Coturnix japonica: one gene and its partner. The protein of the gene in region 1 binds, or shares a complex with, the protein of each later gene. Links are inferred from orthologs where the notes say so. Each region holds a gene or a part of one and is shown on either strand. Other genes may lie near its edges.

Region 1 (10,342 bases):
TGTCAAGTGCAAACTCCCCTTGCCTAGAATTCAGTGTATTTTCTTCAGTAAACTAGAAAAGACTGAATTCAGATGTGGTTGACAGTGGGATACAGTGCTACACATTCAACATTAGCCATTGAAGAACAAACGCAAGCATGAAGTTATCCCACCACAAAGGAAAAGATCTGCTTGAGCCTGTCTCCTTAACCTGCTCGCTCCTGCAGTTTGCTCTAGTATTGTTACCTCCTCCCTCATCACCAATGTAATTCCTCCCAAGCGACCTCTATAAAAAAAGTCTTCAATATTACGGATTACTCTGGGAAAGAAGAAAAGCGATCCACGCAAATACTATGTTTATGAACACAGAGCTGTTGAAAAGAAACATAGTATTAAAGTCATGCTCTTCTGAACAGTAACGGACTGGGAAAACGTGGCATGATCCAGCAAATTCAGCGCTGTTCCACCATCCTTAGCTGTTTAAAGAGTGCAGCGGAGGCAGACCGTGGGTTTTGCAGTCTATCACTAGCACTAGCAGGTTAGTTTTGGTGCATATTATTCAAGTGGAAAATGTACTTTCACTGGTGCCATCGGTCAGTTCTTCTTTTCCTCCCTTTACAAAGGGATACAGAGATCTATAAGCACATCTTGGAATCTCAGCCAGACTATTTGCCAAGGAGTATCTTTTGGGCTCAACAAAGACTTGTGAGTACCTTAACCTTACATTCATTCTGAGGCAGCCACCGCAATTCCATTTACCTGCAAGTCCTACTTATAGTGGGGCTGTTACCATCTTGAAATTGTAGCTAAAAGTAGTTTTAACCAGTAATACAAGAGAGTACTTTTCAGTGTTTCCTGTGATGGAGCTGAGGGAAAAAAAATAAAATAATAATAATAAAAAAATCTGTAATAAACCATCGCTGCAATTTTATTTTAACAAAAGGGCAGGTTTATTCATGTTTACAAACAAGTTTCAAAAACAAAAAGGAGAACATGTATGCTACCCACTAACAACCTTTCAAAATGCCAACAGCCCTCATGCTGCATGAAGGATTTTATAGATTAGAAAAAAATCACAGTTCCACTCACAGTTCACCAAGACAGCACTAAACTAACATGTTTAGACAAAAACAAAGGACTAAGATTCTGATGTATTTTGATTTAATCCATTTTGCCCGAGATAACAGAAATGTTTCAAGCAAGTTCCATCACATATTGATGTCCTGCGTTAAACAATCCTACTAAGTTCTGAACAAAAGTTATTCAGTTAAGTTTCTCAAAATTTTTAAAAATTAAACAGTTGTTTCAAAACCATTAAGTAGTAAATGTATTTAAGAAACTAATCAGGACAGAGGCCATAACTTCATTAGAACACCACTGCTCATGTTTTTACAAAGCATTAGTGTTATCTATTTGGCTATTAGTATCAGCAATTTATCTACAATATTTAACAAGGTAAATTGCAGGCAAAATTTAGTACAGTTTCAATAGAAACACCCTTTTCCTGAAAATACAGCAGTATTTGAAGGACTAGTTTTTTTTTTTAATATTTTTATTTTATTATTATTTATTATTATTATTATTTTTCTCTGCGTCATTTATAAGGAAGCTTCCCATCTATGAACAGGAACAAAAAAGTATCTACAAACCTTGTAAACAGATCTGTATCATTTATAAACATAAATAATCCAAATTATTAACAGCCAACAGCAGAAATTAAAGTATCAATTCAACGATCCAGGGCCTCCTTGCCCTTCCCAGCTTTCCCCTCAAAAAAGGATCATGATAAACTAAAGCTCTGCTAAACACACTGTTCGGGACCATTCTTAAGTACAACAGATGATCCACAGGTCACTTATGCCGAGTTACTGTTCATCTGTCAGAGTTCATTATTACTCCCACCCCCAGAAAAGCACCCTCCAGTCTGGCAGAAAGCTTTTTTGTTTAAAAAAATAAATCTACATTCGTACAAGTGTGTCTTCTGTTGAAGTCCAAGACAAGAATCTCATCTTGTCCATCATAAAGTGTGAAGAGACCCAGTTTCAATTTCTTTACAATGCAGCTAGTGTGTTAACATTCAGCTTACAATCAGAGTGATGTTTCCAAACTATGTAGCGGGCTCCCTGGGGATGAAGAGGTAGCAGACTTGTTCATGTCTGTTGTAAGGTGAATTCCACTGTCAACCGCATTGTTGTTTTTATTGGGAGAGGGTGGGGGAGTAGAGTTGCGTTTTGTTGGAGCATCATCTTCAGCATCAGTATCGTCAATTAGGGGAATATGAGGCTCGGAGTCTTCTATTCTAAACTCAGGATGCGTCATAAAATTGTGAATTGAACTTCGTGTCTCAGGTTTCTGTAGCCCCTCATACAAAGAACTACGAAATGCATTCACCACTCGAATCTGCAAACAAAGAAAAAAGGTAGTTAACATGCCGCAGATTTACTGGCCATGACATAGTTCTTATGAGTTTTGAGTCCACAAACAGCTAGACATGAGTGATTCGAATTTGTATGTGATGCAGTGGAACTTGCAATACACTGTAAAAAATGAAAAGCGTTTCAGTAGAGCACTGCCAGTCTACAAAGTAGGAATAGAAACAGTGAAAGTACTGCAAGAAGCTGAAGGGCCTAAAATTCAGACATGGCAATAGAATTGCTTAATTACTTAACGTGGGCAAAGCACTTCTTTAAATGAGGCCAACAATTACTTATTTGCAAATCAAATAATTTTCAGTGAGTTTTATAGAATACTGAGGGGGGTGGAAAAGGCTGGAAGTAAGTTAAAGGGTAAAAGAGTTACTAATTCTCATGCTGGGAATTTAGGATGTCAACTGACTATGAAAAAGCCAAGCATGTGAAAGCCAATGTCACAATGACCAGACAGTAACGAAGTCATGCAATAAAGGATATGACTAACTATAAACAGCTGTAAATGTTCGAGTATATACCCATCTACCACAGTGGAGAAAGTTTCTTACTTAATGATTTGGAAGCTTAGTGCCAGAACTCGGGAACTGAATGCTGTATTGTACACTGAAGATGTAGCTACAATGGGTTATAACTTGGAAGAGACTATTCAAGCAACACTAAATACAAGAGATGCAGGTGATCAGCTTTAGCTTACTTGGGTTTTCAGCTTCCAATGAACGCATGGATAAAATTCCCAGGCTGAACATAATTTCAAGTCTCTTCATTGTTTAACTAACACGTGCAAATCAGAACACCAAGTTTAAAGAAACCGCAAACAAACATTTCAGAACGATATTCGATACGAAATTGGATAGTAAAAAGGGGTAACTTCATTTTACAAAATGTACATGTCCAAGATGACGGGAATTTACACTTTTCCAATTATGGTTTGAAGGATGAAGCCACCTGCTCATCTACCTCTTCTCCTGTGCCCCACAATTCCCTGACCAACTCATTAATTCAGGATTCATTCTTGATTTGATATAACATATTTAATGACAAGCCAATGACCCCTTTGTCCAATACTTCAATCAAAACACATTTTCCAACTTCTGTTAGCTTCTGCCTGTTCAATACTCAGCATCTCTAAGTAACCTGAGTAAGTCTTCAGGAAAGTACACAAAAAGTTCCTGCACAGTACAATACGAAGCAGAGCAAAACTCTGTAGTACAGAGCAACTTACTGTTACAGAACAGTAAGCCAAATTTTAGGACATCCCAGATGACTTGTTTCAAGCTGAGAAGTATATCAGGATTACTGCTTCCAAACAGGATGTGCCGAGTTCCTTAGTAGTAAAAAAGAAGCAATACCAGGTGAAGGAATGAAGCTGGAAGGTCAAGAAAGATGGGAATATTGACTTCAGAAGAGTTAAGATACACCAAACATCCTCTTAGTGCAAACTGAAAAGGATTCCCCAGCAGCAGTGCGCGAAGTTTGTTACCATAGAAGCTCTGTATACACCACATCGGTTCTGACCACGTTCTTTGATATCCAGAAATAGGTGTTGTTTCCCCTATCCCTGCCCCAGTGGTCATTAAGAATTTTACTAAAAAGCTATAAAGTCCACATTTTCATACTGCACGCATGCAGCTGAGCTCCACTGATGATGAAAATCATTTCAAGAGGACAGGAAGGATACATGATATTCAGAAAGGAGAAGACAGGAAATAGTGTTGATGAGCTTGAGAGATAAATGGTTACAGAGGCATCTAATGCTTTACTGTTTATCACATGAAAAATTGAGCACACTTTTTAAGAGTTTGCACGTTATGTGAGACTTAAACAAACCCAGAGTGCTGCATAAAATCTCTTGGTACTTTCCAAGTGAATTAGGAGTGACAGTGTCAGACTGAAAGTTTGCAATGCCAAATAAAGATCTGGCATGTTGCATCCTACTGTGCCACTGATTTCAGTGGCAAAATGAAATAGGACTGCCTTACGGTACTAGTTTTTCATTCCTTACAGATGGTATGTTACAGCATAAGCAGTAACGAAAAACAGTTTTTCAGCTTAATAGGAGAGCTGTAATTATCATAAGAATATAAGGATATCTATAATGAAAGTGTGATTCACATAAAGACAAACAACTGACCTGGATGATCTTATGAACCCTGCTAAGGATCCTTATAACGTCTGGCTGCGAACAGTTGAAATAAGACTACCAGCATTTTACCTTACACTTAAAAGACAAACATCTAACATTTTTAAGGCTTTATTTTCAGCTACTCAAGATAATGAAGCAAGAGAGCTAACTATAAAATTGAATAAGTGAGGAGCGAACAGCACAATCTATGATATCTTCAGGCCTTTCCTATATTAGGTACCAGGATAGTAAGGAATGCAAGTAAGCACTCCAAATCTTACTGGACTGACAGCTGCTTTGGAATAGCAACCTTAGTACATGTGAACTATCTTCTAGCTAACAGCTCCAAAAAAGACAACAATGAACAAACTTGTCTGTTTGCCACTAATATACATTAGCTATCAAAAGATGTTCTCCTAGAGGGAATAGCAGAAGGCTGTATTTCATAGTGAATATCAAAAACTAGGTATTTTTTGTTGTTGTTGTTTTTGTAGCTTTGTATCTGCATTGGTCATTTGATGCAATGAGATGATGCAGTACCCATTAGGTTCTGCTCAAATGACAGCATGGCATGAAGTTGCTCTCTAGAGAGTTCTCAATGTCTAATTAATGTTCTTGAGTGTAGTTAGGGATACAGGTTACTCATTACCATTTTAAGTAGGAGATGCAATCCTGCATATCCTTACTCTTAAATCTACTTTTCATTTTGTGAGCTTCAGGCATGCAAATTTGCGAGCTAAGCTTCTCAATACCACTCACTTGCAGGATAGGGAAGTATCTGTGTCGCCAAGGAAGAATGAGTTAGCTTGTGCAAGCTAACACAGAAATTCTAGCCATGTCAAAAACCCCATAAAAATAAAGGAATTAGAAGAAAACATTTAAGGCAGCTCCTGAAATTAAGGGTCTTCATCCACTTGGTAATCTGAAAGCTTAAAAAGCAGGGCAGGGGTGGGGAAAAGAAGCCTTCTCACAGTTATTTTTAAAAACAATTCTTTAACTGGTCTATAGGAAGTTAAGAGAGGGAAGTTAAACATATATTACATAACTAAGATGGAAAATGGCTTCAGCAATAGTTGAATACTGAGAGCTAATATCTATAACTGTTACACATCTTCAGACTCCATAATTAAAGCCTACATATGAGTAATTAAATCTCTAGCTTCTACAAAGAGGAAGGCTGAAACTGAAATGCCACTTAGAGTACAATATAAAGAGGGCAGAATTGAGGTGAGACAAGAACTGTACTGCTACTGATGGCTTATGAACTGCTGTCTGAAGAACCTAGAAAGGAAAAGAAACTCTTCAAATGTGAACCAAAGTTTCACTACTTAGCGCTTAAGCCCTTCTTCTTTTTCATGAGCTATGTTTCTTCTGAACTGTATGCATTTAAGGGAAGCCTTGTTTCGCCACCTGAATCCTGGTGTTGAGAAAGTTGTGTTATTCAGTAAAAAATAAAAAAATAAATAAATAAGTCCACAGAAAGCAGAGACTCAGAAGTTCCTCACAAGCTACAAAGAAAATGCATTTAGTGCCCCATGTTCTCTAACTACATTCTTATTTTTAAAACAGCATGGCTTTTCCATCCGTTTCTTCACCTTCTCAAGTATCATCTGTGCTCTGTGTAGTGCAAGAGAGTTGAACTAGATCTACGATTATACATTTAATCAATTTGCTTATTCAACAGAAGTCACCCACATAAGGTGACTTTCACGGCATATACTCGAAAATTTACAACAGTTTTCCTGTTTTATCCTAAGCATTCCTCTGTACACGAATGGATGAAGGCACAGGATGTGCAGGCTCACAGCTTTAAAGTGAAAGTCTTTTGTTGCAATTGTTCCACCTGTTCTCAGCCCTCTAAGAAAAAAAAGCCTCGAGGACTCCACTTTGTGAAAAAGCTCTATGAAAAGCCTGAACGATGAGTTTAAGTACTAAGGAGAAAATGAGAAACGTTAGGTATGTGAATCAGGAAATGTTAACTTCATGCACTTTAGGAACACACACTCACACCCCACAGTAGTAGAAGCAGTAGTAGAGGAAAACACTACATGTGTAGGGGTAGAAATATTTGTTACATCATGGTGCTGGCTGGCGATGGAGGGTTGCCGCCTTAGAGCCCCCTGAATGGTACTTCCACTCTGGAAAGCATTCACTACATCCATCTGCAAGGAATCAGAGATTGTGACAGCTTGCTCAGCAAGAGAGAGAGAGAGAGAAAGAGAGAGAGAGAGAGAGAGAGAGAGAGATCGAGAAAGAGAGAGAACAAGAGAGGACCATCCCCATCTATAGCACACAAAAAAGTAAAGAAAAAAAAGGCACTTTTTTTGTTTAAATACAGTAGATACACAGGGAAGAGCTGAACTTAGAGTAGAAGAAAACAGAGAACCCTGAGGGATTGTACAGTCATCCATATCCCCTCGAGAGTCTCATCCACACCATTTAAAACTGCCACCGTAGTCAAAGGACTGGGGATGGAGAAGAGTGATTCCCCTCCTAACACGCACCGCATCCTACCTTTTCCAAGACCATACCTGAGTTTGTATTCTGTTTAGGCCCCTAAACCACAAGATCTGACCACGACGTAATTCTCGTTCAGCATGGTCAATCTCCTCCACGTCTTCTGCTAACTCTTCTTCAGGAATCTCTTCCTTTTGTGTTCCATGACCAGCTTCCTTAAGAAATTTCAGGCGGCTAGTTGGGATTGTTGAAATCAACTAACAGCGAATAAGAAATAGGTATCAGAATTATTGTTTTAAGGGAAGAAAAAAAAGAAAAAGAACAAACATAATAACATACAGCTTGACATAATATCCTGTATACACGATTAGCAAAGTTGGAAAAAAAGAAAGAAAAAAGAAAAAAAAAAAAGATGTAAATGGCTAAGTGCATCAGTGTAGAGCCGTCACTCCAGATGAATGGCTGCACAACTCTTAAGCTTTCTCACAACCTCAATAACATTTAATTAGAAGTGGCCACAGCTTATTCAGAAATACAGAAGAGGCAGGCATTCTTTTGTCACCTGAGCGGTATTGATCCACTTGCAAGGTCAGCGATGTTTCCAAAACCCCTACATCAAGCTACTAAATTGCTAGTTGTTTGTATTATATCGCTACTTGTTTTTAATTAATTAATCTAGCTGAAGCTAAACAGAAGCTATATATGTCTTTTCCGGCTTTCCTTTTCATCCACACCTTCAGGGCTATTCTGTTGAACTATGTAGTGAAGGAGAATCATCTTTTGATACATCCCATCTAGCAGATCCACATCAGTTCCAAGCCTGCTTTCCTTGAGCATCATTAATCTAGAAGGCCATTTCAGAAGCTGCAAAGAAAAAAGACTGCTCCAAAAGCGAGATAAACTGCCTTTCATACTGACATTGTTACTATGACTTCAGTTTCTACTATTAGCAGAAAGTCAAAAGGTCTTTCACTATGATCAGACACTAGAGCAGCATGAACTGCAGCAGGGAAGCTCTGCACTTCCAGGATGCTTTGGATCAAAGGTATTTCAAGCTGCCATGACTCTCTATGAGGCTGCTTTTAAACCTCAGAATGACTCTATTCAATTTTTAAGCCTTCTTTAAAAAGTTAATACCCACATTTAGAATATGCGTTTATGTATTTATTTACAACTAAAATTCACCCTGAAAAGGTATTCTTTACAAATTAGAAGGGAAGAAACCGTACTGGAAAAGTCTTCATGTGGTATAAAGAATTTAGACAACCATGTCATTAACTAATGAGAAACTACACAGAGTTCTAAAGTTTCATGTAAATAAGCTCACAAGTACTGCTGCATGTGCAACAGCAAAGAAACCCCAAGGAAGAAAATAATGAAAATGCAGTCAGCTTAAAAGTATATTCCATAATTATGCAAATGAAGATTTTTAAAGAGAAAACTTTTGAGTTTTGCTGCATTTCCTGCTACTCTAGGATATCTTTAAAGAAAAACGACTGGCACACATAACTTACCCATTTTTCAAGAAAACCATTCAACATTACGTCAAATACACTGAAACATTAGCATATGAATTGCCTCATGTTCTTACAGAAGTTGTTCTTGTGTTTATCTGGCTGAAGACAATTTCATATTTAAAGGCAACTACAGCTGCTTCTACTTAAAAATTACTGAATGTAAATACAGAATCACAGAATGGCCTGGGTTGAAGATGACCACAGTGATCATCCAGTTGCAGCCCCCCTGCTGTGTGCAGGGTCAGCAACCAATAGACCAGGCTGCCCAGAGCCACATCCAGCCTGGCCTTGAATGCCTGCAGGGATGGGGCATCCACAACCTCCTTGGGCAACCTGTTTTAGTGCTTTACCACTCTCTGTGTGAAAAACTTCCTTCTAACTGTCCTAAACCAGACATAGTATCTAGTTATGACTTTAACTTGCTTGATTAGTTAGTTATTAGTAAGGAATGTCTAACTGCAGACTTACTAGCTATTAACCCAGGTAGTTTTAGGCAGCATTCACAGTTAATTTCCACAAATGTATAGTCCACTTCAAAGATCAGAATGCTTAAGGTAGACCTGTTCATCTGTGTCCTTCAGCAAGCTTTGAGTCAATGGTATAAAAGAATAATCTCTTACACATGGAAAATACAAATTCATTAACACAACTGGATTTGACATTTAGAAAAAATTCTATTTTTACCTGGCCCCAGAGTAGTGTTCCCATGCCCAGGAAAACAGACCACAGCCACTGTTCAATTGAAAGTTTTGAGCAACTGAAAGGTTTTCCACCAAACTGCACAATAATTACCTGTGAAGAACAATATCATTAAACATGTATCAGTGATCCATTACTAGAAAACTCCCTAGAGCTTCAAGACCATCATAGACAACTCTGCATTAAAACACTGGATTTACTATCTCATTAAGCACACAATTATTCTTCAAATGGTATACAAAAATAAATGGTTTTATGTACTTGACACTACAAATTCAGTTCAGCCATCTCAGAACGAAGTTAACTAATGATCCAAGTTAACTAACGATCTTCTATTAATGCAAGTCTCAGATATCCAAAACACATGCATTTCAGAAATCGCTCAACAGAATATTACTACATCCCAGTCTTAAGCATGACAGTTTGACATAAAAACTATGATGATGGGCTGAAATCTGAAAGCCAAGTTAAACGCATCCTCACTGACTTATCTACTTACAACAAGCTGCACAGGCCCTAATGAGTAAGGTATCCCACTGCATAGGAACTATATGCATGGAACGCTGCCCTGGAGAATAAACATTCAAGCAGCAGGGCAAGCATCAAAGGAGACAGTATCAGCCATTAAATAGGGCTCCTGACACTGGAAAGCCCAGGAGTATCTTTTATTATTAACAAAGAATAAGACACTGTGCAAAAACACAGAACTAACTTATATGGGAATGTAAGCCCCTTATGAATCGCTGATAAAGAGAACAAAACTGCAGGCAGGATTAATTCCTATGTATTTGGGTTTGTCTCAAAACAAGTCTACTGCACTTATGACGGATGAGTAGATTAAGTGAAGCAACTTTACGCAAAGTAGAATTGCATACATTTGCGTTGCTTGAATTGTTATATGTTTGTTAAGATTCAAGGAATCCCAAGGTTAAGATCCATCCTACACCTGAGATTACTCATGTCCAAAATAAACTGTGTGAAAATAAAAAATAATTAAATCATAAGAATATTAAAATTGAATTGTTGGCTATTTCACTGTTATTAGTCAATCATTATTTTTAATTATTAATAGTATGATGTTGCCCATTCTTCACAGAAATAAAATGTCTGGTTGCGGAAGCATTAGTTGGTTAGCATTT
Region 2 (10,950 bases), on another chromosome or scaffold:
AAATACATCAAAATAACAGGATGTCTTAAACACTCCCAGTTGCAAGACGACAGCTCCAAGATGACACACGTGCACACGCACAAAGACAACCCTTCCCTGCTGTTCTGTAAAGCACAGGAACTGCTGATTTTTCTTCCTCTTTGTTTGCTTTGAATCTGATTTTTTTTGCAGTCCTGCTTTTGCTGAAGTCTCAGAATAACCAAAATGCTGGGTGAAAAGATGGGTCTTGAGAGAAAGGGGAAATGCAAGGAGTTTGAGTTAATGTTTGGGAACTTCAATAAGCCTGAGCTCCCCTTGCTGTTCACAAGGTTAGGAATCACTATGCCCACACAAGCAAGAAAAAACATCAATAAAATCATCACCTATAAGCCATTGTATTACAGATTCACAGAACTATAGGGGTTGGAAAGGACTTCTAGAGATCACTGAGTCCAACCCCAAACTAAAGCAGCTTCCTTTCAGCAGGTTGCACAGGTAGGCGTCCAGACATGTCTTAAATATCACAAGGAGACTCCACCACCTCTCTGGGCAGCCTCTTCCAGTGCTCTGTCACTCTGACAGTAAAGAAGTTCTTCCTTGTGTTAGCATGGAACTTTCTGTGTTCCAGTTTCTGCCCCTTGTTCTATTGCTGCCTGCCACCAAGGGTCCATCCCCGTCAGTATGACTCCTGCACTTTAGATATTTATAAACAGTTATGAGATCCTGAGTTTTCTCCAGGTTGAATAGTCTCAGGTCTCTCAGCCTTTCCTCATACAGGAGATGCTCCAGGCCCTTACTCATCTTTGTGTCCCTCTGCTGGACTCTCAAACAGCTCCCTGTTTCTTTTGGAACTGGGGAGCTCAGAACTGGACACAGTACTCCAGATGAGGCCTCACCAGGGCAGAGTAGAGGAGAATATCACCTTTCTCAACCTGCTGGCTGATTTTTCTTGATGCACGCCAGGACACCATAGGCCTTTTTGGCCACAAGGGCACACTGTTGACTCATGATCAGCCTGTTGTCCACCAGGACACTCAGGTCCTCCTCAAAGCTCCCTTCCTGCAGGCCAGCCCCTAACCTGTACTGATGCCTGTGGTTATTCCTCCCTCGCTGCAAGACTCTACGTTTGCTTTTGTTGAACCTCATCAGGTTCCTCCCTGCCCAACTCTCTAGTCTGTCCAGGACTTGTTGAATGGCAGCACCTCCTCCTGGTATGTCAAACACTTCCCTCAGCTTCATATCAGCAGACATGGACTCTATCCTCTTACCCAGGTCACTGATGAAGATGTAGAACAAGAACAAATCTAGCCCCAACCCACACAGAACACCACTAGTTATAGGCCTGTTGTAACAACTCAGTCTGGTGGAATCCTTCCCTTTGCAGTAGAACACTTCCCTTACCATCAACCTAGTTAACCCAGTGCTGGCTAACTCTTTTTCTATACAACTCCACTGTAAGTTGTATGCGACCCGGTAAAAGAGGATATACTTGTGCACAGAGAAAAAACAGCTTTTCATTCCATGCTAGTCATGCTGCATACCTGAGATACTGAGTATATACATGTCCATGTACATTGAGGATTGCAGTAACTCTGGTTAACTTCCCTAAGAGATTCCTGAAGAGTTTGAATTGGTCAGCATTGTGATCTTGTCACCAGTCATGGATATCTTCTGCTTTGGTTTCTTGCGTTATATGCTCACAGCACTTCTGTCTCGAGCAAAAAAACAGATGAGTTACACAATTGTGGGGAGAAGATGGAAGGAAACAACAGCGTGCTGAAGCCTCCTGCTAACTTCTGCCCAGGCCTCTGGCAGCATGACTCACTGTGAGCTGCCATGGTTACGAAACAAGTATTACTGTGCAGATACAAACCATGCTCAGAGGCAAGTACATCGCTGACTGGTTCCAAACTTGGAAAACACTCGGGTGTAGGTAAGGCCTAATACCAAGTGGGTGTTTGCAAAAATGAGAGTTATAGCAAAATCCTCCGGAGCAGGAAAAACAGCATGCAGAAAGCAGAGGGAAGGGAAGCATCATGTGGAAATTTTGCTTTCTGGTTCTTTTTGCTTATTCCTTCTGGTTTTCCAGTGCTACTGTCAGAATTGTTGCACAGAAAAACAAACAAAGGGAGAAAAGAGGATGTTTCTGTACCATGGCAAGAAAACAAATAGTAGTGTCGTGGATGATTCAGCTGGCAAGGATAGTGAGTCATGGAAATGCAGCATGGAAGCACTCAAGTGCAGGATACGCAGCACAGTGGAACATCTGATGTAGAGTGAGTTTAGTATCATGGCACCTTTAGAGAGCCAGGACTGCCAACAGCCCCAACGTTTCTCTCCTGTGAGCTCAGCAGAATGGAAGCTTACCTGAAGTGTCGGAGCAGTGCTTTTGTCAGCTTTAAAGGAGTTGCAGGGTTTCCATGTAAAAGGTGTGCCTGATCCTCGAGTCACATCAACAAGGAAAGCACTCTCATTTTATTTCCTGAGAATTAACCAAGCAAAGTACTCAGGGATGCAAAATCAAGCGGCTGCACCCTCATGAAACAAGCTATATTAATAGGGTTTAACAGCAGGGATGTTTTCCCTGGAAAGAGAAAACAGCTTCTGATTGTATTAGTGTCCTCCCAGGGCCCTTCTCTGGCTGGGAGAGAAGGCTGGGCAATCTTTGGACAGCTATTCTAGGAGATCTGAGCCTGCAGAGCTCTCTGGAGTAGGAAAAGAGGACTCAGCACAAAGCAGAAGATACACTTTTGAGTGATTTCCTTCTTTCTTTGTCTTAATTCCCAATGTGTTCCTGTGCCATTGATTTTTTTTTTTCAGTTTCCTGCAAATCTCCCTACCTTGGATACATGTTAAACCACTCAGCAGTCAACCCCGACTGTCAATGCCACCCCAGGAGGGATAACAGTCCAAAATCCGCTTTTATGTCACCTAAATCAGGGTTACAGTCAGCTGGGGTTACCAACATGGTACATAACTAGTCTATCTGACCCCAAATCAGATTGGGAAATAGAGGAAACCAGGGTGACTACTCACAGCTCACCAAACAAGCCTCGAGGTGGGACCACGTTGACTATTTTTAGGGACAACTGGCAGGTCCAGTGAACCGGGAGGGAATTTTTGAGCTCTCTCCGCAGTCGATTTCACTGCTAACCTGAGGCAAATGCATTCACTTCTTGTGGCTTCAGCTTCCAGTCTGTGTAATCAGAGGGGCAGGGTCCTTTATTTGGGAAAAAAAAAACCCACAAACAAACCAGAATAAATCCCCACAATGTTATTTTACTTTCTAAAATATTTATCAACAAATGCTCTTCTGTGCTGGTAGGTCCTAATTACACATAGTCTCTTGCTCCAAACCTCTGCATTATGAGGCTATCCACGTGAGGGAATCTCTCAGCATTTTCACCTGTTTATTACCTACTGCACCATTTCACACTGATAATATAAGAAGTGCAATACTTTCACTGGGTAAATTCCACACAGAAATCCAAAATCCAATGTGGGATGTTGGGGGGAGGGGGGGGGGATGGGGAGGGAAGACCTGTTGGTAAGCTATGGTTGTGTTTCAACTTATTCCTTGTGGGTAAGTGATAGTTGTGTTTCAACTTATTCCTTGAGGGAAAAATTATTGGTTGATGCTGCTCCTGGCCTGCCTTCCTGTGTATCTGCTATTTGTAGAGAATGAAGAATAAAAGTGAGGTTTTAGTTGGGTCATGGAAAACTGATTTCAGGAGTATCACCTCAGCCTCAGCCCTGTGTTTGCTGGGACACAAGTAAAGAGACTGGAACTGTGCACGGATGCACGACCTGAGGATGGTATTTGCTCTCTGCACCCCCATGGCACCGCCAGGCCCACCTCGAAGCGGGCACAAGATGGCGCCTGAGGTGAAAACGCAAAGCCCGCGCCGCGCATGTCACGTGACCCCTCCATCTCCGCCCAGAGCAGCGGGGCCGCCCCGCCCAACTCTCGCGAGATCCACCGGTGGCGTCGCGGGAGCCGGCGCTGCGCTGCGGTAGGAGGTCGGCGGAGAAGGACGGAGCCGGAGCCGCTTCGCCGCCCTCCTTCCTCCCTTCCCTCCCTCCCTCCCGCCTCGCTCCCCTCCTCAGCCGGGAGGATGCCTCGCTCCGGCCCGCTCCCCGCCGCCTTCTCCCTGCTGCTGCTGACGGCCGCGCTGCTGCCGGCTCCCTCCGCCGCGCAGAACGGTGAGGGCGGCGTGAGGGGAGCGGAGCGGAGGGGGGAGGGGGCGCGTTGCCATGGGGCCGCCGTTACTGTGGGGGCGGCTACGGCGGGGGACGAGGGTCATGGCGGGGCGGGGGAGGCCGTACGAGGGTTTCGGGGGGAATGGGGGTCGCTGTGGGGTGGGGGTTGAAGCCGCCCCCCCCCTCGCCCCTTTCCGCCGTTCTGAGGTGCTTGGAGCCCGGCAGAGCGACCATCTCCCGCCCACTGAACCCGCATCTGCCGAGTTGCCTTCGGTGATTTATAATGCAATAAAGTCGTAGTTCCTTAGCAACTAAAGGAGGTGCTGTGATAGGAGCGGAAAAGAGAGGAGGCATAAAAAAAAAGAAGAAGAAAAAGAAACCACCCTTCTCTGTGCTTTATAGGAGAGTGTGAGCTAAATGTGGCGCCTGTGCCTCCTCCCCGATGAGTTTGCATGGCGGTCGGGGGCTGTCGGAGCTCTGTGCCAGCTCCTCGTTGCTCCCTGTGGCACTGTGAGCTTTGAGGTGGCCATGAAGGAGGGGTGGGGGCTCCTGAGCTGCCCCGGGTCCCCTGTGTGCCAGTAGAGCAAGGCAAGGGCAGAAGCTCAGCTGCAAGGTTTGTGTGCGTTGAGGAAACCTTACCTGCAAAGAAACCACACCTTGCATACATTCCTATTGCCGCTGGCTTGTGGTCACTTCATCCTCTCACCTCTCCCTTTCCTCTCTGCTGTATAGTTATTGCGCTGTCTTGGTCTTTCCTCCTCTTGAGGTGGGTTTTGCTTTGCAGCATGAGGTTGGCTTTGACCCTTTGCTGCAGGAAAGAAGCCCTGAGGCCTTCAGCCCTGTGATAGCAGACACAGATGTAAGAAATAACAACCCAAAGATCCCAGATTGGATTTATTTCCTCAGTACTTGTGCGTTTTGCAGTCTGAAACCAGTGACTGCTAACCAAGCACCCATGTTGTTGCATGGAAAAAACCTGTGGGCATTCTGTATTGTGAAGGCCTTTCCTAAGGAGCACCAGATGGTCAGTGGCCAGTTGGATTGCTGTGACTACAAAGTCTGCTTCTGCATTGATGCAGTGTGCGCTATTGCAGCATGGTGTCAGCAGGGTTAATCTGCCCACGTTGTGTTTCCCATGGTATTTGGGTGAAGTAAGGTGACAGGAGTTAAATAGGTTGTGTGCTTGAAGCTGCTCATGTGTTGAACTAGCAAGCAAGGTGTCAAATGCAGGCAGCTGATATGAAGATGCTAACTAGCTGCTTGATAGGCAGTGCAGACACTTGGGTTTTAACACTAGTTCTGTGTCTTAAGCTCAACAGTTGAATACGTTCTGGGGGTAGTTGGAAGGTCTTAACCTTCCTCTGCTTCATTCTTGGTTTCCACTGCTGCCGTGAGGGTAACAGTAGCAGGTTGTGGTATGAGATGAGATTACAGACCCCAGGAGTTTTCTGAGAGCTCATTAATTTTTATGTGGTTAACTGGGGTTGTCCCAGCAATAAATGCTGGTGGAGACTCTGAGCATCTGGAATATACACAACAAGTGAGAATCTAATCTGGAGCATTCCAAAGGCAGAGATCCTTCTGAAAAAGGTGCATTGCTGCAGCTGAATTTCTGCTCTCCATTAAGTGCTGTCATAGCAGAGAAGCAAGTTTAAAGGCTCAGCTACAGAGGAGCTGATTTTTCTGCAACTAGTGGCCAGTGAGATGCTTCCTGAATCAACTCTGCTTTTGCTTTGATGTGAAGAATAAGCACAGCTGTTTTCTGGGTTATAGGTACTCCTGGTAAGCTGTTCTGAAAGTAATTGAACTTGAAAAGGTATGTGCAAATCTGTCAGTGGGAACTATCTAAACATTGCCAGGGGTGTGCTTTGAAGGTGTGGGGAGCAGTAACCCCAAATGTACACCCAAGAATCCCATGATGTGTTATTGATACGTGGTCATCACCTTAGTGAAAGATAATATGGCAGGGGTTGTTCTACTTACAGCACCACTGGGTTACATACCTGTTGAAGCTGCAGGTTGTGGACTGCTCAGCCAGCAATATGCAGCAAAGGCCAAAGTGCCTTTTTTCTTCTGACAAGAGAAAAGGAGGCTTAGAAGAGAGGCGAGGAAGCACCAGGAGGAGCAGCTGGCAAGAATCAGTCTGTCAGGAGGGTCTGTATAAACCTTTAGTTTCCAACTGGTGTTAGTTGGAGAGTCACCACTTCAGAACAGTGTTCTCCTTATGGAAGGGTGCTTGGCTTGACTCTTTGGTGGTGTACACCATGCCTTCCCTGGTTGCTGGTTTTTGACCTTGGCAGCTGCTTCCTTCAGAACCAAGACTTCAGGATACTTGCACCTCGTAGGGTTTGGTTTTAAAGGAGCATGGCTGTATCTCTGCTGATAGCTCAACTATCTACTCCAGCTGCTCCTGTTAAATTTGCAGCCTTTATCACAGCAATACACAGTCTAAATCATTATCGCTTCTCCCAGTTCTTCCATTTCAGAGCTCTGGTCTGGCAGCGTGCACTTAAAAGCAGGTTTTCGTGTCTTGTCTGAAGGACAAAATTGTTCAAATCATGCTTTTTTTACATTGTGAATGCTGTTTCTGGCTGCAGCTTTGCAGCCATTTTGCACTGATTGCCTTCTGGTATTCTGATGTGATTTTAGCGGTCCCCAGATAAAACTAAGAGATGGTTTCATACAGCATTTATGGAGCGTGAGTGTGGGCTGAGCATCGAGGAAAATGTTCAAAGTTCTGTTCTTCTCCCCACCGTTTCTATTCTCCTTCCTCCTACAACTCCCGCATAGGAAACTTAAATACAAGCAAGATGACTAAGATGTATACGCTTGAAAATCGCATCGAACTCTTCCAGTTCTCTGCTAACAGGTAAACGAGGCGTCAACTGCTGGTACTGGCACTTCAAACAATAGCTTTAATTATGTCAAGGAGCAATCCAAGTGGAAGTGCAGCTAAGTGCTGGAGTACACTGCGAGCATTAACTGGCCTTGCAACAGAGTCCTTCAGGAAGACGACTTGTTATGCTCATGAATGAGGTGCATTCTCTCCTTCACAATGAGCTGTTTCTTTTGCTGTAAGCACTCGTTTAGATCGTAAAAAACCCTTGCATTGTAAAGGACAATGGTAGCCTGTGATTCATCCTTCGGTTGTAAAACCAGTGTGGAAACTGCTCAGCTCCAAGTGCTGGAGGCACTATTCCTATTGGGGAACCTCTTAAGATGAAGGCTGGATAAACAGATTGTGCTTATTTTTAACTGGAAAGGTCTTTTAGCTGTGAACCTAAACCTCTTCTGGCGTTTTATTCCTTACATCCATACAGTTCGGAGTGTTCCCTTTCCATCAGCGTTTATTTCCTGTGTTAGGTCGGTTGTCACGGTCATTCTGTGTAAGTTGGATTTTTCCTTAGTGTTTCTGATGCTTTTCAGTCACGTTTTCAGGAATGTGATGAGTCGAACTGGCCGCAGTTCCAGTTGGGGCCGGCCCAAAGCTCAGTGGAGTGGAAGGATTGCTCCGTGCATCTTACAGATGGCATTCCCATTTGCATCACAGGACACATGCGTTTATTGCGGTATGTTTTTGACTCGTGTCCAATGGGATCCTTTACAATGGCCACATCTTACGTGGCAGGACTTGCTTAGTGTTCCTTGGCTGCCTACACCAAGCAGTTCCTTGGTGCTCCTGCTGAATGGCATCTTCTGATGGCTGCTCCCACTTGTCGTCATCCTGTTGGATCTAATGGAGCACCCACCTCTACTTGCCTTCAGCTTGCCTTGGTTCTGTCAACTGAAACAACACTATGCAATCAGCTATTTTATTTTAATCTATGTTTCATCTACTTGCTTGCATACATGAAAAATAAACATCTGATACGCAAAGCTGTGTCAATGGAGTTTTTTTTTTTGGGGTAGGAGGCTTTTGTCTGGGAGCAGTAATAATTGCCCTGTAGAAAATAAGATAATTGCAGCTGTTTTCTCTTCTGTTTCCATCTGTGTCTTACTGACTTTGCAGTAGATCAGGTTGTCATGGATAAATGGCCTCAAACCATGGCAGGGCGGTGAGGCTTAGTTCATCAGATAGGTTTCTCCCATTGTCTTCTTGGGCACTGAACTGGGACGGACAGTCTGCAGTTCCAGTCTGGTGGAGGAGGATTGGCTGCTTAAAGTTGGGAGTTGTCAAAACTCAGCATCAAAAAATAACGTCTGGTTGTTCAAGTCGAGATCGTTGGCTGAACCATTTCTTATGTGCCTTCATCAAAATCTTACTTGGTATTGAATGCTTTCACTTCCTCAGCCCTCATGTTGTGTGCTGCATTGTTTCTTTTGTCGTTAGGGGAGATTCAGTCTAATTAAATCTAAAAATAATTTCAGCCTGGGAGTATTTATCCACTAGTAAGATAGACTGTTAAAGATTCATGTTCTCTTGATAAGCTTGAAGCTTTTTTGGGTCATCTGTGTGGTTGAAGTCACCGCTTCAGTGTTGACGCAAACTCATTGGAGCAGAAAGATGATAACTTTGGAAGCTGGGAAGGATTCATCAGGCGGTGTCAGAAGGTGTGGATAGCTGCTATCATTAAGAATTAGAAGATTTTGAGAGTGAAACTTTTTTTTTTCACTGTTCCTGTTCAGATTGCAGTGGAGAACAGCACTGAGATGTCAGTATCATGTTTCGGCTGCAGCAAGGTTTGTATGCGTGGGGAGGAACTGAGCAGTGGGCTCTGATCTGGGTTGAGTTATAGAATGGCCTGAGTTGATAAGGCCCACAGTGCTCATCCAGCTCCATCCCCCTGCTGTGTGCAGGGTCACCAACCAGCAGCCCAGGCTGCCCAGAGCCACATCCAGCCTGGCCTTGAATGCCTGCAGGGATGGGGCATCCACAGCCTCCTTGGGCAACCTGTTCCAGTGCATCACCACCTTCTCTGTGTTGCTGGGTAAATAGGACCCCCATTACACTGTTGGAGGCTGTAGGGTAGGACAGTGGTTTGGATGGAGAGAAGGAAAAAACCCACAGTCTCCTGGATACTGGGTTTCTGCCTTGCAGCTGTGTTCAAAGGGATGAAGAAGCATTTTATCTATCTGCTCTTGGGAGGAGGGTTGGGATTTCAATATACCAGATGCAGTCTCAGACCTGTCTGAGGAACATGTATTTGAATCAACTTGGTGTTCCGTGTCACATCAATGTGTTTTTATATTAAAAAAAGTTGGGGGGAGATGTGAAAGGACAAGAACAGATCTACAAACTGTGTGCATGAAGAGGAGCAGGGTCCAAGATACTGCCTGGCTAAATGAATTTGCATTGTGGAACCTTTTTATAGAGGATAATTAGGTTGTGATGTCCCTGTTCTGCTATGAATCAAGAAAAAAAAACCCAAGTCTTGTAATGCTGTAATTCCTATGGGCTTGTTTAACAGTACATGTTATAAAATAATACATTAATGAATCTATTAAGCCAAAGTGCTGCTTGGTGCAGCTAAGTACTGTCGTTATTTACTACTTCCCACATTATGTCAATTACGTTAGTTTGGAGTAGATGTGGGGATCATGGAGGCTCTCCGTGGAGCTCATTTGCTTGCTTGGAAACCTCAAATAGATGCATTTACTAAGATGCATGTTGAAGGATGTAAGAAGAGGATAGAGGGAGTTATGGATGAGAATAGGGAAGATGTGAAAAGATGCCATAAGTCCAGAGCTTGAAAGTGGTTGAAAAAGCAAACGCCATATTGATGGGCTGCTCCTGGGTTTTATTTTTGGTCTTTTTGGCCTGGTTTATGCCTGAAGAGCTTGATGGAGGTGAGCTAGAATGAGCTCATTTAGCAGGTTCAACTTGCAAATATTAAATTCCCTTCATATTCATGCAGAGCTCCTCCTAATGAACTGGTTTGCGTGCAGTTACCGATTGTGGTCGATTGCGGTCCAGCTGTATCGTTACTCCCGTTAAAGTTATGCATGTGTTTGCAATGTTAAGAAACTGCTGTGTTGCTATAAGTGGCGTTTAATGACTGGCATAAGTGGAGATGATAGAAATAGGGGCTGACATAGGGAAGGCCAGAAACCTTGTGAGGCCTTGTTTGCAGTGCTGCATCCAGGCCTGCGGCCCCCAGTACAGGAAGGATGTGGAGCTCTTGGAGCTGGTCCAGAGGAGGATCACTAAGAGGCTCAGAGGGCTGGAGCACCTCTCCTGTGAGGAAAGGTTGAGGGAACTGGGCTTGTTGAACTTAGAGAAGGCTCTGGGGAGAGCTCATTGTAGCCTTCCAGTACTTGAAGGGAGCGTGTAAACAGGACGGGGAATGGCTGTTCACAAGGGTGGGCAGTGATAGGACAAGGGGGAATGGTTTTAAACTGAGACAGTGGAGGTTTAGGTTAGAAATTAGGAGGAAGTTTTTTACACAGAGGGTGGTGGTGCACTGGAATGTGTTGCCAGAGGAGGTTGTGGATGCCTGGAGGCATTGAAGGCCAGGCTGGATGTGGCTCTGGGCAGCCTGGGCTGCTGGTTGGTGGCCCTGCACACAGCAGGGGGTTGAAACAAGATGAACATTGTGGGCCTTTTCAACCCAGGCCATTCTGTGATTCTATGAGATGTTCTGAGAATTTGGTATTTTCTGGTAATTCTAGGAACTGTGTTTAAGTTGAGAGAGGCAGATTAAACGCTGTGTGGGTTTAATTTGCTGTTTGAGCAGGCAGTGGTCAGGGTTAGTAAAGGGAACGCAGGCTGAGAACAAAGAGTAAGGAGCTCTGGAACACGCAGGGTTTGTCTGGGTGCTGTTGATCTTCAAT

What was found.
Region 2: the proteins of ATP2B1 (region 1) and NPTN are in contact, whole or in part, in a cryo-EM structure (PDB 6A69), measured with the Homo sapiens proteins. The link is inferred for Coturnix japonica from reciprocal best matches to the Homo sapiens genes ATP2B1 and NPTN. Residues at the interface, in NP_001353449.1 of Homo sapiens: Phe954, Asp955, Ile956, Asp957, Glu996, Arg997, Asn998, Val999, Glu1039, Gln1040, Leu1042, Trp1043, Ile1045, Phe1046, Met1049, Gly1050, Leu1052, Leu1053, Gln1056; in NP_036560.1 of Homo sapiens: Arg245, Ser246, Asn248, Arg332, Arg334, Pro339, Pro342, Phe343, Gly345, Ile346, Glu349, Ile350, Ile352, Leu353, Ile356, Ile357, Tyr360.

What each region holds. Positions count from the first base shown.
Region 1 is NC_029516.1:39,485,339-39,495,680, forward strand, and holds part of ATP2B1 (plasma membrane calcium-transporting ATPase 1), read right to left. Parts: intron 9,297-10,342; coding exon 9,189-9,296; intron 7,245-9,188; coding exon 7,062-7,244; intron 6,693-7,061; coding exon 6,579-6,692; coding exon of another isoform or gene 6,539-6,578; intron 2,380-6,538; coding exon 2,068-2,379; 3' UTR 1-2,067. UniProt on the Homo sapiens protein: Catalyzes the hydrolysis of ATP coupled with the transport of calcium from the cytoplasm to the extracellular space thereby maintaining intracellular calcium homeostasis.
Region 2 is NC_029525.1:1,567,779-1,578,728, reverse strand, and holds the start of NPTN (neuroplastin), read left to right. Parts: upstream 1-3,940; 5' UTR 3,941-4,094; coding exon 4,095-4,182; intron 4,183-8,825; exon of another isoform or gene 8,826-8,840; coding exon of another isoform or gene 8,841-8,859; intron 8,860-10,950. UniProt on the Homo sapiens protein: Probable homophilic and heterophilic cell adhesion molecule involved in long term potentiation at hippocampal excitatory synapses through activation of p38MAPK. May also regulate neurite outgrowth by activating the FGFR1 signaling pathway.